Linked DNA regions of Arabidopsis thaliana. The protein of the gene in region 2 binds, or shares a complex with, the protein of the main gene of each other region. Each region holds a gene or a part of one and is shown on either strand. Other genes may lie near its edges.

Region 1 (7,844 bases), on a different chromosome or scaffold from region 2:
GGAAAATGCAAGTTACCGTGACATCTGTAAAGGGAGTAGCATCTCCTTCTTTTCCCATGTGAGCTGCCACTTTTCCCATGATGCACTCAATTAGCTGTCCAATTGTCATTCGAGACGGAATAGCATGTGGATTCACAATAATGTCCGGAGTGACCCCTTCAATCGTCCATGGCATATCCTCCTGCGTGTAGGTCATGCCAACAGTTCCCTTCTGACCGTGTCTACTACTAAATTTGTCTCCAATTTGAGGAATCCGCACGGATCTGACCCTCACTTTCACAAACCTCAAACCATCTGCATTTGTAGTCAATAACACCTACACGAAGTTACAAGAATTGATCAGTTTCATATTTCAATCCTGAAACTTTCTAAACCCTTAACTGCAAGGAAAAGCCAAAGTTACCTGATCCACCATTCCAGTTTCACTATGTCGCAAGCTTATACTATGATCACGTCTAGTGTATCGGGATGATTGTCCTTGAGCCTCATCTTGAGATATTGGAGTGGTTTTCCCAATGATAACATCTTCACCTGAAACTCTAGTACCCTATACCAAAAATAAAAGATTGTATGATATGCTTTCTAACATTAGTCACCTAATCATATCAGATAATAAATAATTAAGGAACAATAAATTATAAACTTACAGGAGGCGCAAGACCATCATCATCCAGTTTATCATAAGAACCATGTCGCATACCCTGCAGCAGAAACCCAAGTGTTAAACTTCACTTACAAAAAGCACCACTGAAGTATGAACCATGTGTCAATTACTTTCTTACCATTGTACTTCCTCTGTCTGGGCGCCCAAAGTCTTCTTTGACAAGCGTCCCCATTTTTTTCTCCTCATCTCTGTCAGCAAACGTGATTGCAGTATAAATAAATGGAAAGACCGAAGGCAAACGTCCAAAAGTATAGCATACTCACCTGTAAGACCGAAAGAACAAGGATCGAAAGAAACCACGATCTATTGAAGACTGATTCATGATGACAGAATCTTCTTGATTATATCCAGAATAGCAAGAAATGGCAACAATAGCATTCTGCACAAGAAGAAGAAAAAAAAACATTTGAGAGATTTGATACACGAGCAATGCTGAATTCTGAAAAACTTCTAGCAAAAATAACTTACAATTCCTGCTGGAAGTTGTCTAAAGTGAAGATGCTCCATAGCTCTTGTAGTAACCAAAGGCTTTTGTGGATAATAGAGAACATAAGCTAACGTATCCTGGTTGACAGAACAATAATAATTTCTTTAAAATATTGAGTGATGTAACAAGAGCTGACAAGAAAGACCACAAATTAAGAGCCTAGAACATACCATGCGAAATTGGTAGTTGGTGACATAAATTCCCATTGCTTGCTTCCCCATGGCAGATTGATATGTATTACGAGGTGACTAATACATCAAAAAGTAAAGGGTTAGTTAGCATGAAACTGAATTTACATAATGAAATCGCTTCTGATAGAAAAGTCATTTAGACAGAGGTACCTGATTATGGTCAGGAAATGGTATGATTGAAGCACAGACCCCCAATATCAGAGATGGGTGAATCTCACAATGTGTGTAGTTTTCAGTATAAGCCTCTTCTGGGCGGAGTCTAGCTTGAACCAGATCCTACAACAAACATAAGAGTAAGATTTCTGCAGAAATTAGTGCACCACAAACTCATTTAATCACATCTTCATTTCATTACTCACACTGATAGTCATGGAAATCATGGTCGTTTCCTCTTCTTCTGTGTCTATGTATTCTATAAAGCCCTTAGCAACCAGATGATGCCAACCATCTTCTTCTGCACTTTCCTGGGTTATGAAAACAAATATTGGTACAATGGAATTTATAACAAAAGATACTTTGATAACAGGTAAAAATTAGAATTTTACCCTTTGTTGCAGAGCATAGATATCTCTCTTCTTTATTAAGAGCTTCTGATTATCTACAATAAACAACGGACGGCTACAACGTCCATAATCAGTGTATATCCGGAGCTCTTTAAGACGGATATCTCTAACTACACCAACTTCAGTGTTGACATCAACCTGCAAGAGGAAAAAGTAATATGTCACTTCTGCATAAAGTTGCAATATTTTCACTAGCATATATGGAAACGTGAAAGAAACTGCATGCTTACCCTTCGTCTCAAACGTCTCAACGTTTTCACCAACATGTCAGGATCTCTATGAACTCCAACCCACATTCCATTGACAAAGATTTTTGTGGCTTGGGGTATAACAGATGGAGATATTTCCTATATTCAAGTTAAGACCTTCAGGAAACCACAAGAACCAAGGAGGCAGATGTTGGGTAAGAAATTGAATGTGAAATGCTACAGACCTCAAAATTCTCAGTACCCCATTCTTCCAAAAATTCCAATATAGGATAAGCAGCTGACCCAACTGTTATGTAGACCATGAGAGCCAAGTTTTTCACTAGACCACAAGCCTGGTACAGCAAAGCCACAATGAGCAATGGAACTATAAAATCCGAAACACCCTTATTTTATAAATATAACAATTTTACCTGTCCTTCAGGTGTTTCAGCAGGGCACATCATTCCCCACTGTGAGTTGTGCAGTTGTCTTGGTTTTGCCAATTTTCCTGGCATATCAGACTTGATTAGATTCAAGTGGGATAAACAAAAGTACAAGCCAATCTAAATTGCAAGGATGTGGATAATAAAGAGAACCATGACTAAAATACACCAACTGTACGAACAGTTACACAGAGACAAAATAGAAGTGCAGGAAAAGAACGAGGCTTTACCTTCACGTCCTATTGGAGAATTGAGACGCCTCAGATGTGACAAAGTCGAAGCATATGTCAACCGGTTAAGAACCTGTTGTTAGTTAAGTCTTTAGAGCCATATAAATCATGCAATGAATTATAATAGGCCAAAACAGTAAACCCGATAACATACATCAAGAAATTATTGGAACTCAAAAACATAATTAACATAGAATTATCCTAACCTGAGAGACTCCAGCTCTTGTGCCAGCAGCGTTTGCCTGGCCCCAGTTCCCAGTAGCAAGAGAATATTTCAGGCCAGAGGTAATTGTTTTAGCCTTAATGGCAAATTGAAGATTGACTTCTTTGCCATTGTCAACGCACTGTCAAAGAAACATGAATCAGACTTCCAAACACAGAATAACAACTTAATACTAAAGTCTTTGGCTCGAGAAAGAGTAACTATGTAAGATACCTTTTGAACATAAGATCTCACATCCCTTGTTAACTTTCGGAAAAGCTGCATGTAGAGAAGATGTTAGGTCAGTAAGAGATAAAAAAAACACTGATACTCAACAATCCCCAAGAGTGTATAATTGTGTGCCGGGAACAAACCATTCTAAATAGCCCTCCAAGTAAAGGACCAGCAAGATCCAGCCTTTTGTTACCATAATGATCCCTATCATCTTCTGGCCTTCGGCCAAGTGCACAAAGCAGCAGCCGGTGTATGATATACCTACGGATCATAGCATAATATGAGCAACACAGAAACATGTTAAGTCTATAAACATTACAAGTGAGTTAAATACCTACCCAAAATAGTAAGCTTTCTTTGTCTCGCAATGCTCCCCAATTCCTACATGAGGAAGCATTTCTTTCTGAAGGATATCTCTAGCATACCTGCAATGATAATATTGCAATCGCAAACCTCCAGTGTGAACATCTCAATAGTTGACATCTTAGATCATAATGTCCAACTTAATTGGTTTAGATTATCACATACTTTATCCTTTTTTCCTTGGTTACACCAACAGTTGCACCACGTTTTCCAATATAGTCAAGTGCAACCTGAAGTAATATGAAAGTTATCAAGTGATTGCAAGATCAATTCCTCAAGCATAATAAAATGTCATTAACCAAGTGAAAAAAAAGTGGATACCAGCTGATTTTGAATAACGAAAGCTTCTTCCAAGGAAGGCCTGAGCAACTCCATCATCTGGGTATCGGCAAAATCATAGCAGATGTGTTCCAATATGTCCTTATCGGCAACAAATCCCAGTGCACGAAATACTATGATAATAGGAATTTCTGTTCTGATGTATGGAAGAGTACATCGAATATACTGTCCAGATGAACCCTGCATCCATTTGCAACATAGAATGTAATTTATTTACCATTATCTAGAATTTAAAGAATAAATTTCGAGGAAGGATATAGTAGAGTTAAGACTAATTAGCTTTCTCTTACCCCTTTTGCACTAGCACGAGCAAGCATACGCACAAACATTGTGCTTGGAGGCCTATTTTGGTTTTCAGCCATAGAACGGACTTCACCAACATAAGCATACTTATTTGGCTGCCTTTTCTTGAACACATAAACATGATTCGTACTCATCTTCTCCTGAGCAATCAGAACCTTTTCACTGCCATTAATAATGAAGTATCCACCCTGATCATAAGGACATTCTCCAAGCTCTGTCAGGTCTTTCTCCGAGTTCTGAAACAAGGTACAGTAACTAGACCGGAGCATGATGGGAACCTAGCAAATAATCAAACAAGAAGAAAACATTTCTACTATCAGAACAGTAGAGTACATGGAAACACCTAAATAAATGTGACACAATGAACTGAGTTCGGACACCTTTCCAATGAAAACTTTAGTAAAATCCTGTGTCTCCGTAACTTCTTCACCATCATGCCCTTTCTTAATAACTCTCTTAGTAACATCGACATACAAAGGCGCAGAGTATGTGAGATTTCTCAACCTTGCAGCCTTAGGGAACAGGGTGGCAGTCTCTCCATCAGACTCTGTCATCATAGGTTTACTCAGATAAATCTGTCCAAAGCTAATCTTGTAGATTGTCTGCAGGAAAACAGCTATATCAGACATACAGAAAAACAGATAGCAAAACAGCTATATCTCAGCTCACACAAAGTCAAAAATGATTTGAGCTTCAACCGATAATAAAGACCACTGAAAGGACACTTTGAAAAAAGCGAAGAGCTCAAGCATTAAATGGAAAGATAATCTCGGAAAATCAATGAGCTTAGCTACTCGACAAAGGCAGACCCTAATTGCAACAAAACTTAAAAACTGATTTAAGCTTTAACCAATATTCAAAACCACTGAAAATACACCTCAAAAAAGCGAAGAGCTCAAGCATCGAATACAAAGATAATCATGGGAAATCATTGAGATAAGCTTCTCAGATAAGGGCTAACAATAGACTGTCTGCAGGAAAACAGACCAAAGGGACAGCAAAAAAAGATACCAAACTCATTTTTATAGTGCCAAAACTGATTTGAGTTTCAACCAATACTATAAATCCTCCTCGAAAGAGATGAGCTCAAGCATTAACTCAAAGATAATCTCGGGACATTAATAAGATTACCAGCTCAAAGTCAATATCCGGACATCAATAGTCAAAATCATTTTTTGACTCTTGAACAGCATATAGCTCAAGCATTGAATAACAAGACAATCTCGGGACATCAATAAGATTCAGGTAAACCCTAATCGCACCCAAACGGTAGAAGCTCAAATCGAAACACTTTAAAACCGCCACAAACACGATAAACCCGCACATAATTTCGAATTCCCATAGAAACCCTAGAAAAAAACAAAAACGAGGAAACAACCTCCGCAAAATCGGACTGATGGCCAGGATTATGCTGAGATTCAGGTCGGATCTCGATATCAGCAGACTCATCAACGATTTCTTGCATAGTATTTTGAATAAACTCATCAAACGAATCCAGCTGTTGACGAACGAGACCTTTCTCTTCGAAATAAGCAGATATAACAGCCCACGCGTCCTCCTGGGTAATCTCCTCATCGTCATCGTCTTCTACATATTGAGGTTCAGGTTCGTATTCGTTGTACTCCATTTATTCTCACTCTCTGAAGATTAGAGCACAGCAAACTTCACTACTCGAGCTCTCGGAGACAAAGAGAGAGACAGGACGCAGAGAATGAGACGGCTTTGTGAGATTGTGAGTTTATAAAGGCTCGAGAGAGAGAAGTCGGCTTAAGTTTATGGAAATAACCGGTTTGTATCAATAACCGGTTTGATTAAATGGGATTATAAAAAGGATCGGTTTGGTTGTTAGAGAGCTTGGATTGTTAAATGACGGAAACACCCTTACTATATAAAGAAAAGTCTCCGGCTACATTTTTGTGGCGTCAGCGATATTTTCGGAAGAAGAGAGAGAGAGACGGAGAGTGAAGGCGGAGGAAGGGAGAGAGAGATGATACCGCAGCAATGGACGCCGCCGTGTGGGAGCAAATGCACGAATAAGTACTCAGCATTTACGCAGCTTCCATGTATGTAATATCTGGACTCTTAATTTGTGTGAATCGGATTCGTTTTTGAGTTTTGATGTTCGTGGTCCGTTGTTTTTTGATGGTTTAGTTTTCGATGATGATGATAAGAATCTGTTGTTGGAGCTGATAGATTGGGTTCTGATTTGGATTGGTGATTGATTTCTTGATTCAAAAGTCAATTTAGTCTTCCGAGTGTTTCTTCTTTTTGTTGTTGTTTGGAATTGAAATTGGGATCTGTAAATTGGATTGTTGATTGATTTCTTGATTCATAAACCCTAATTATTTGTTGGTGCACTCTACTTCATTACGATTATACTAAACATTTTGGTCAAGAATCGCTTCTTTGGTTAGATTGGTCCAGAGACAACTTATAGTTGTAGTTGCAAGTATTTAAGAACATCCATCTTGACTCGTAATTGAATAATGTAGATTGAAGAATCGGCAACATTTATATTGATTACAAGTAAGGGAGATTATGCAGAGTTCTTAGAGCTTTTCTATCATGTAATTAAGAAAATGGTTAAATTAGTAGGAGAAAGTGGAAGATAATAAGTTGTAGTTTATGAACTGAAAGAAATTTAAAGGGAGAGAGTCAAAGTAACGGTATCAAAGATGCTTCTGTATCCATGTTGCTTCTATGAACTATTGACATATATGTATGCTTAAGCTAGTTAAAGGGCTTGGTTTGGCTGTTTCTGTCTTTCTGATGAAAGCTTTTCATTCTCTGATCTCTGAATTTCATTCATGGGCACAAAAGCTAGCTGAACTTATGCTTGGTATGACATTTTTTCCATAGCAATCTGGGTTTTTTTTCAGCTTTAGCATCAGTGTTTATCCTCCATGTTGTTGTATGACATTTTTTCCATAGCACTAATGTAATTCCTGAATCTGTGTAGGGAGAGTATTCTGCAAAAAGGGATGTGATGCCGATAGTGACTCATGGGAAGATTGTAAGCATTTCTTTTTAATTCTTTGTAATCTGTAACGAAACTGTTGATGAAATGATGAGCGGTTAGATTTGTCCTCACTATGGAACATCATAAAAACCAAGCTTGTCTCCTACATAACGAAATTACATGTTCATGAAGAGTATCTTCTGCTTTTCAGGTTTAAGTTTCCAAGTTAATGAATTGGTGTAATAGTAGTGTACTCTCTATAGGTGTAGGAGACTGCAGTGAAATTTGCTACAAAGATCCTGTGCTAAAAGACAGACCATGGACTGCTGTTATAGATCGTTCTCCTGGAGATGCCAAATACTCTGAGGTAATTCACACAATGAATCTTTTTCTTCAAAAAAGAGAAATGGACTGAACCGTATCTAATTGTTGTACATGTAACTCTGTTTTTAAATTCAGGAATGCTTTCACGCATGTGTAGCAGGCTGTGGTTACAAGGTTTGTTTCCTTGCTTCAACCTCAATAATTTGATGCGTTTGGAAATACACTCTACTTCTCTGAACCCGTGTGGCTGTATTTTTTTGTCATCATGCAGTTTGATGTTGAAGCTGAGATAGTCAATAAGGTGAAACCAAAGAGACCTCCACCACCACCGCCAAAGCCACAACCACCACCACC
Region 2 (4,179 bases):
AGAGAGAGAGAGAGGTATTATTAGATGTGTTGTTCATATGGGAATCTCACAAAACAGAGTAGGAACTTGAACTTGCCTGTCTATAATCATTTGCAGACACATCTCTAGTGAAGATGAATGCTAAACAAATTAAGTAGAGAGGTGTAGAGAGCTTAGCCATTTTGTGAAACTCTAAAAGAAAGAGCAAAGTTGGGATTGTGACTCTGAGAGAACGAATGTGTTATTGAATAGATTGCATACTCATCATTGTTATGAAACTATATGGAAATTTATTTGAAAAAAGCGTTTTCAAATTCATTGAATGTGTTAAAATTCAGAAAACTTTCAATGAATTTAATTAGTACATTTTGGTCAATATATCATACAATTAGATATTTTACTCGATAGTCAAAGAGGTCTTACCAAAAACCAAATCCTATAAGGAAAGTTGATGAATGAGAGAAGCAATTGATGACTTTTAACATGTTTTCTTAGATTTATCAAATATTTGATAAACAGAACCACAACGTATGAAACAAGAGTTTCAATATCTTCCACAACATATGAAACAATATAACTAACAATCAATGAAACATCCATTCAATTTCAAATTATACAATTTTCATTGAGACATGTAGAATTTGATCCACTACTCGGTACTATATTGTTCTCAAAATGACAACAGTTTTGATCAAATACGAAGTTCACTAAACTTGCATATAAGTTAAATCCAACAAGCGTGGTTCCAATCTTTCGGATTAAATAGATCCAAAACTTCAACTATAATACAACTTTATCACAAGACAGCATTCTCTGTGAAAGAAAGAAGACCAAAATTGAAATCTGCTTGAAACTTTTTATGCCGCTGCAGGGTCGTTTATGACTCCCAAAAAATCGTCTTTGATGGTACCCACACAAAACTGCAAAATCAAAAAACAAATGTGTAAATTGATAAGAATAATCTAAAAACTATAAGTTGGATTGTGACTAGAGTTATGGAGGAGATGGTGCATACAATCGCAGTGGCATCAACTCTTGTTCCAATAATCTTTAGTCTCACTTCACACTCCTTCTGGATCTTAACCTGCAAGAGAAGCATTGGAAAAATGAGTTCCTTGAAGATAGATGAAACACATATAATACTGTTGGGAAATAAGAACTAGAGAAAGAAACACACTGATCCATCTGATGTGGTATAGTTAGGCATGTCTCCAGCTTGAAACTCCATATCATCTGGAATCAACTGTGGTGATAAAAGAGAGGAGAACAAGAGTAAGTACATAACACCTAGAATCAAAAATGAACTCGAGGTCAAATTCATGATGGAAGATCATAAGCTTACATGCTTAGACACAAAAATCTGAACAGGGCCAGCTTCAGCGAAGAATCCCATCTGTGATAATATTAGGAAAATCCATAAGGTTGATTTGTCACTAAAGACATTTGACTAAAAAAATAAGACTATATAGATACATTACCTTATTGACCAAAGTGACAACAGCTTCCAAAATCTCGCCTTTGAAAGGTCTGAAAACGACGCATTGGTATTTAACTGGAAAGGTGACAAAACCAGTCCCATCTCTGATCAAACCCTTTCCTATTGTATCTATTCCAGTTATCGCCACTACAAATCCATGTCGGCCACTGTCCATACCACAAAACGAAAAGAGCAAATATTGATAAGTATCAATATGACATTGCAATGATGAAACTTCACATCTTAAACCTAAAGCAAATACAAAAAGCTAGAGGCCTCAAAATACAAATCTCTGTCACAAGCAATGGATTAAGCGAACTATACTAAAGAACAAAGTTTTAGACTTGAGTATCAAATACAAAACAAGATACTGGATCTGAATGATTTGCAATCAGGCATCTAAGTGAGCTGGATGAAGTCATATCTTAATCCTAAGAAAGCTAAAGGCTTCAAAGCAAATCCCTTTGGAAAAAAATTCTGCTAAAAATCAGACTTTAGTCACAAGCAGCAGAGAAAGACTACAATTTAGTTAAAAGAACGATCTTTATTCGAATTTAATCCACTCTAATCCCTAAAACCTAACAAATTGAACTAGACGGAGATTAGGGTTCGAAAAAATATGCAACTTTTTCGAAGTTGTCTTAAGGAAAACGAATCCGAATTGAGAATTGAGGAAAAGGGTTTGCGATTAAAGCATCCGAAATTGGTGATTTTCTACTAGAAGTGAATAGAGAAAGAAAACCTGCAAGTGCCTTCGACATCTTTCATGAGCTTAGATACGAGGTTTTCTTTTAGGTTACGACCAAAGAAACGAGGATGCAACTGCATGTTCCGCTCCAATACTATGTGGAAAAACATCTCGACTTCTCTCTCTCTGATTCTCTCTCTCTGCCTCTGGGACTTTGTTAATGTCTTATTGAGAGCAAATTATGTTTTGAGTTCGACCGGAATCAAACAAATCTCTCTGTTTATAAAAGATGCCCAATGGTAGTTCTCTGTCAGCCGTCAGATCTAAAAAGTATGAACGGTCCAGATTGCTTATTAAATTTTCCTTTTTTTTTGTTTTCCTTTTCCCTTGAGACTTGTTTTTTTTTCCTTGACCAATTACGTTTTAATTTTGTTTTTTTGACGCACTAAATTATTTAAGTGAAATTATAACAACGTACAAAACTTTGTTGAATCAAGTTTATTCATTTAGTACAATATCTATTTTTTTTTTACTTTACTTGATTTTAGAAAATATATTTTATTTATTTATGAAACAGCTTGTTCTTGAGCTTGCACTCTCCTATTTAACAAATTCAAAACAGAACAGTTTATTCTTTATTTGATGCATCATAACAGAAAGTCATAAGAAAAAGAAAGAACATAACAGAAAGAACAGAACAGTTTTTTAACTAGACATATACTTATAGACAAACACGTCCTTGTTTGGTTTTGAGTTACTATGGATCAGCCGGAGGATATTTCTTATATGGCGGCGACGGATACTCAACCGGTGGAGGATATTTCTTTTTCGGAGGCCAAGGGTAATGTTCAGGCGGAGGAGGACATTCTTTCGGAGGAGGATAAGTTTTGATCGGCGGATGAGGGTAAGTCTTGTACGGAGGCGGTGGATACTTCACAGGGGGATGAGGATAAGTCTTGATCGGTGGTGGATACTCTTCTGGCGGAGGATACTTCTTAATTGGCGGAGGATACTTCTTGATCGGCGGTGGATACTGTTCTGGCGGAGGATACTTCTTGATCGGGGGTGGATACTTTTCTGGCGGAGGATACTTTTTAATCGGTGGTGGATACTGTTCTTGCGGAGGATACTTTTTTATCGGCGGTGGATAATGTTCTGGCGGAGGATACTTCTTGATCGGTGGTGGATACTGTTCTGGCGGAGGATACTTCTTGAAAGGCGGTGAATACTGTTCTGGTGGAGGATACTTCTTAATCGGCGGTGGATACTGTTCTGGTGGAGGATACTTCTTAATCGGCGGTGGATACTGTTCTGGTGGAGGATACTTCACCGGCGGATGAGGGTAAGTCTTGATCGGTGGTGGATACTTCACCGGTGGATGCTCGTATGGTGGCGGTGGATACTTCTTGATCGGTGGTGGATACTGCACCGGTGGAGGATATTTCTCGATTGGCGGCGGTTTAGGTGGAGAATATGGAAATTTTGGTCCCCATTTAAACGGCGGCCAATGATGAAACCAATTAGGAACAGAGTTTGTAGAAGCAGAGGAGGCCAAACACAAACTAAAAATGCTTCCTTGTGTTACTAACACTGCGAGAGCAAAAGTAGCTAGACAAGACTTCATTTTTCTTGTTGTGAATAGCAGCAAGTTAAAATACGGGTTTTAAAGTAAACAGAGGACTTAAGACTCTATACAACACATTGCAGTGACATTGCCACATTGCAGCAAACCTCACAGCTGGTTTTAAAACCCTAAATCCAGGAAAGTAAACTGACAGAAGCTTTTGTATCCATGCACGTCCAAAGTTTGACAGTTTCATATGGAACCAGGGATTTGACCTTTTTTGGTCAACTTGTATTCGCTTTTTAGCTCTGCAAAAACTCTCCACTTGTCAAATAATTTGCAGCGACGACAACAACTAAGCAAAGAATCTGTTTTTAAAGAGGCTTCGAGTTGTGAAGAATCCATGAAACCGAAGATTTCCCAAGTATATGTGTGTATGGATACAGAACAATTTAGTATGTACACTGAGGA
Region 3 (4,654 bases), on a different chromosome or scaffold from region 2:
TATATTCATATATATATATATATATATATAAACAGTTGTTACAATCCCAATCATCATAAAATCTGTAGAGTCCTCTTCCAATCTTAACATCGTAGACAACGTTTGGATTTCTGCAAGTGGAGTGGGTACTTATTACTCTCCAGGTATTCCTGTCCTGCATGAAGTTGTTGTCAACTGTATAGAGTCCGTCTTCCTTAATAAGTATAGTGAAAGAGCTTGTTTCAAGGAACAGTAAATGGTTGTTGTCATAAAGCGTTGTCCACTCAGCAGCATTAAGCCAACTTTGGGTTGATGCTTTAAGTACATGTGCGACATCTGGCAAATATAGCATCAAAATATATTAGATTTGTAGATATATAAATAACTATCTTAGTTTTGCTACAATGTCTTCTTCAATTAGAATTTTCCAAGCATCAGTTCTATCACAAACCTTCTCCTAGATCTCCCTAGAATCCAGATCTGCTACATTCTTAGATTTTTAAATCTTGCCTAAGTGTTACAAATTCCATAGATCTTGCATTCCCTAAATCTTGATGTTCTAAAATTTCTAAATACAATGCCTCGATTTCCCAAATTCGCCACAGTATCTCGATGATCTCCTTCAAAACTAAAAGAGTTTTTAACTAACCAAATACTCAAATACTCCTAATTTGTATTCTTAACCCTTTAACCATAGCCTAAACAATACCCAATTTTTAAAATAATAAATAAACACTTACATTGTTTTTATTGCTTTCTTTGTAAACTATGAATTTTTTTTTGTATATATATATAATTTTATATAGATTTCACTATACATATGAAGAAAATTAATCAGACACATATTATTAGTTGCACTCTCATTTTCTTGGAAGTAGGAAAAATGATATAACTTGTTTAATTGTACAAACATTACCCAATTTTTTTTATTTTATTTTTGTCGTATTGTTTTGGCCGAACCATTTTCTTCTTTTATAAAATGGGAATTTTTGCATTCTATTTTCGTAGACAAAGAGTAAATTAATCATTTGTGAGAGATAATAATAAACTTTGGATGTTCTTGTCTAGTAGCTTAAAATAAAATTGAGTATTTTTGGTTTAGATAAATGTATAAATGGTGTCTAATGTATTCTTACCATTGGATGTTTGACAAATTACACATTTCTCCATTTTCTTTAGAGTAATCAAAGGGATAAGCATTGTAAGAGTTTATAACGATGGTCCTTGTGATGATCTAAATAATGCATTAGGCAGTGCTTGTTGATTAAAGAATGATGAAATCCTTTAACACTCACATGTTAAAATATTTGTTAACATCTTGTCCTTAATATTGTTAAAGAAACTTAACTAAACTTGTTAACATTTTGATTATGGGTGTCAAAATGGGTCAAAATTTATGGGTCAACTCAATTCAACTCAACCCATGAACTCTAATGAGTTCAAAATTTTGACTCAAATGAGTTGATGGGTCAAATGAGTTGATGAGTCAATTGGTTTGATGAGTAAAATTAGTTGGGTTGTAATGGTTAATGGTACTATGAGATCATTTCAAATTTTTTGATACATGGTGTTTTCCTCCCAAATATATGACTATAATATCACTAAATACTATGAGATCTCGTAGAGTTGTTGAGTACGATAAAAGAATCTATGAAAAAAGAACTTAAATAAAGAGGTATACGTTTGACAAAAAAAAAAAGAAAAAAGAAAAAGGAAAAGGTATAAAAAAAAACATTTGAGTTGGGCTTATATGGGCCTGTTTGAAATTTGGTGACATTACTTTTCGCCAAAAGAATTAAAAAGGCCCATATAGGCCCAACTTTAAACATTACTCTAATATTTATATCTTTCTCACTTTTGCTTTATTCTGATTTCTTCTCCTATCTCCTTCTCCGGCGAAGAAATTGAAAATTCATTATCCCTAAAACCCTAATAAAGGTCCAGAGAGTCGTCAGAAACCACCGATTAGCTTTTGAAATGGACGGTGCCACATACCAAAGATTCCCAAAGATCAAGATCCGTGAGCTTAAAGATGATTACGCCAAGTTCGAGCTTCGTGAAACCGACGTTTCTATGGCCAACGCTCTCCGTCGCGTAATGATCTCCGAAGTCCCTACCGTCGCAATAGATCTAGTCGAAATCGAGGTTAATTCATCTGTACTCAACGACGAGTTCATTGCTCATCGATTAGGTCTCATTCCTCTCACTAGCGAACGTGCTATGAGCATGCGTTTCTCTCGAGATTGTGATGCTTGTGATGGAGATGGACAATGCGAGTTTTGCTCTGTTGAGTTTCGGCTTAGTTCTAAGTGTGTTACTGATCAAACCCTAGATGTTACTAGTAGGGATTTGTACAGTGCTGATCCTACTGTTACTCCTGTGGATTTCACTATTGACTCGTCTGTATCTGATTCAAGCGAGCACAAGTAAGTCCCTTTTCATCATTAGATTGTTAAATGCAGAAATGTGGTGTTTCTTTTGTCATTATGAATCGATTGGAGTTGTGAAACGTTAGAGATTAAGCAATGGTGAAACAAAATTTGCATCTTTTAGCATTCCGAGGATGAAAAATACTTCCTTTCGATGGCCCTTTGCATGACTCTTCTTGTTCGTGATTGTTTGATGTTTAATTATGGTGGTTGTGTGGGTTAAAGACTCTGTTTTTGGTTTCGGGTTTCAGGGGAATTATCATTGTGAAACTGCGTCGGGGACAAGAGTTGAAGCTTAGAGCGATAGCGAGGAAAGGGATTGGGAAAGATCATGCGAAATGGTCTCCTGCAGCTACTGTTACGTTTATGTATGAGCCTGACATAATTATTAATGAAGATATGATGGATACTTTGTCAGACGAGGAAAAGATCGACTTGATTGAGAGCAGTCCTACCAAAGTGTTTGGCATGGATCCAGTCACCAGACAGGTTAGTTTTCACGTTTTGGAAGAATGCAGCTATACAAGTTTATAGCTTTGAGACTTAAATATGATTGAACTACTTTATAGACTGCCATGCCTTGAAATATATATATGTGATGTGGTTAGTGCATTTGCTCTTTTCTGTGCTTCTCTTTCTGTTAGATAGCACTACTTAGCTCTTTAGGAGAATTACGCCAGTCATCGGAATGAATCAAATAACTGCTAAACTTCTGGTACCAAACTGAAACATCTTTCTATATCTAATCACTGCAAATTATATGAATCACTTGGAGTATCTCTGTGCCAGTTGAACTTTTGTTTGTGATTTCATGTTAGAGATTTCAAATTATTCGAATGGTAAAGGGAATAAAGAAAGGAGAAGATATAGTACTTGTAGTACCTCTGTACCAGTTGAATTTTCTTGGAGATTTCATGTTAATGGTTCAGTGTTTACTAGGACTCACCACAACTGACAATTTTCCTTTGACCCGCTAGAGAACATTGTATATCATTATAACAGTTACAGTAGTTTATCGTTGGAATTTAGTATGCCATTTCTTTTGAAGTCTGTTGCTTGAATCATCACAACTGTAATTTTTATACTTTGCTTCTTAGGTTGTAGTGGTTGATCCTGAAGCATACACTTACGATGAAGAAGTGATCAAGAAAGCTGAAGCAATGGGGAAACCGGGACTCATTGAGATCAGTCCGAAAGATGACAGTTTTATATTCACTGTTGAGTCCACAGGTGCAGTGAAGGCTTCCCAACTGGTACTAAATGCCATTGATCTTCTGAAGCAGAAGCTTGATGCAGTCCGTCTCTCAGATGACACCGTAGAAGCGGATGATCAGTTTGGTGAACTCGGTGCCCATATGCGTGGAGGATGAACTCAAGTGATTAATTCGAGCTCTTTGTTATACCTGTTTGTTTCAGGTTTTGAGTTTCTTCTGGAGCAGACTGATATTAACCGTAGTGGCACTGTCTTGTTTGATAACATGTGAAGTGGCAGTCTTCTATTTGTTCTGGACCTCTGATCCCTCTGTTCCTGAATCTTGTTAAGTTTGGTTGTTGTTAGTTGTTAGACTCGCTCGTAACGAAAATAAACGCAAGGATTAAATTCAATACATTGAACAAGTATGATTAAAATGGAACAAGTATGTAGTTTAATCTTAAAATTCGTACCATTAACTGAAATGGAATGAAAGACTTTTGCATAGTGGATACCCAATTTAAAGCTCTTAAGTTCTTGAACTTCGATCACACAATAAGTTATGGTGAGTAGCTTCCCTTGGAATGAAACAAGAGACAAAAACTCAAAAGTTTTCGAGCTAATTCATAGGTCCGAAATGATGTCATGGATCTTAGATAAGAGAATTCCGGCATTGATTACTTGGACTAATTATTAACAATCAGATTCAATCAGTAAATCTCTCAATTCTGCTTCCAAAGTGGCAGTGATGACCGCTCGTATCGCTAGTCCTTACGCCATGAGAGGGGATGCCACATTTTCACGCATTGCTGAGTGGTGAGTCGAAAGTCCAGTGGTCAAATAGGTCCAGCCACAATTTTATTTTTTAAAATTATAGGCCACCACATTTTCGTAAGAAAGTAAGTATATCTATTTAGTTGGATCAATTATGGGATCGGCACATTAAAGTTTGTGCTTTTGTGGAGATAGAAAAATTTCACAGTATTCACAAATTGAGGTACTTTTACCTAATGTCGTTTTACAGTTTCATTTTTTACAACTTTGTAAAAAAAAA

The links. The genes of interacting proteins can lie anywhere in the genome.
Region 1: NRPB7 (region 2) and NRPB2 share a complex: the UniProt entries of both Arabidopsis thaliana proteins name them as parts of the RNA polymerase II complex.
Region 3: NRPB7 (region 2) and NRPB3 share a complex: the UniProt entries of both Arabidopsis thaliana proteins name them as parts of the RNA polymerase II complex.

The regions. Positions count from the first base shown.
Region 1 is NC_003075.7:11,536,367-11,544,210, forward strand, and holds the start of NRPB2 (DNA-directed RNA polymerase family protein), read right to left. Parts: upstream 6,040-7,844; 5' UTR 5,835-6,039; coding exon 5,586-5,834; intron 4,810-5,585; coding exon 4,588-4,809; intron 4,486-4,587; coding exon 4,195-4,485; intron 4,085-4,194; coding exon 3,887-4,084; intron 3,796-3,886; coding exon 3,731-3,795; intron 3,628-3,730; coding exon 3,541-3,627; intron 3,464-3,540; coding exon 3,343-3,463; intron 3,248-3,342; coding exon 3,203-3,247; intron 3,111-3,202; coding exon 2,973-3,110; intron 2,840-2,972; coding exon 2,767-2,839; intron 2,602-2,766; coding exon 2,525-2,601; intron 2,447-2,524; coding exon 2,339-2,446; intron 2,253-2,338; coding exon 2,136-2,252; intron 2,044-2,135; coding exon 1,888-2,043; intron 1,807-1,887; coding exon 1,702-1,806; intron 1,619-1,701; coding exon 1,493-1,618; intron 1,400-1,492; coding exon 1,322-1,399; intron 1,229-1,321; coding exon 1,133-1,228; intron 1,044-1,132; coding exon 928-1,043; intron 853-927; and 8 more. Other genes in the region: AT4G21720 (defensin-like protein), read left to right, coding at 6,195-6,270, 7,167-7,220, 7,430-7,533, 7,626-7,664, 7,762-7,844. UniProt on the Arabidopsis thaliana protein: DNA-dependent RNA polymerase catalyzes the transcription of DNA into RNA using the four ribonucleoside triphosphates as substrates. Second largest component of RNA polymerase II which synthesizes mRNA precursors and many functional non-coding RNAs.
Region 2 is NC_003076.8:23,881,634-23,885,812, reverse strand, and holds NRPB7 (DNA-directed RNA polymerase II), read right to left. Parts: upstream 2,458-4,179; 5' UTR 2,315-2,457; coding exon 2,199-2,314; intron 1,624-2,198; coding exon 1,458-1,623; intron 1,373-1,457; coding exon 1,322-1,372; intron 1,223-1,321; coding exon 1,157-1,222; intron 1,064-1,156; coding exon 995-1,063; intron 900-994; coding exon 837-899; 3' UTR 508-836; downstream 1-507. Other genes in the region: AT5G59170 (Proline-rich extensin-like family protein), read right to left, coding at 2,902-3,768. UniProt on the Arabidopsis thaliana protein: DNA-dependent RNA polymerase catalyzes the transcription of DNA into RNA using the four ribonucleoside triphosphates as substrates. Component of RNA polymerase II which synthesizes mRNA precursors and many functional non-coding RNAs.
Region 3 is NC_003071.7:6,731,705-6,736,358, forward strand, and holds NRPB3 (DNA-directed RNA polymerase family protein), read left to right. Parts: upstream 1-1,829; 5' UTR 1,830-1,956; coding exon 1,957-2,405; intron 2,406-2,659; coding exon 2,660-2,897; coding exon of another isoform or gene 2,898-2,942; exon of another isoform or gene 2,943-3,052; coding exon of another isoform or gene 3,053-3,100; exon of another isoform or gene 3,101-3,505; coding exon 3,506-3,778; 3' UTR 3,779-4,115; downstream 4,116-4,654. UniProt on the Arabidopsis thaliana protein: DNA-dependent RNA polymerase catalyzes the transcription of DNA into RNA using the four ribonucleoside triphosphates as substrates. Component of RNA polymerase II which synthesizes mRNA precursors and many functional non-coding RNAs.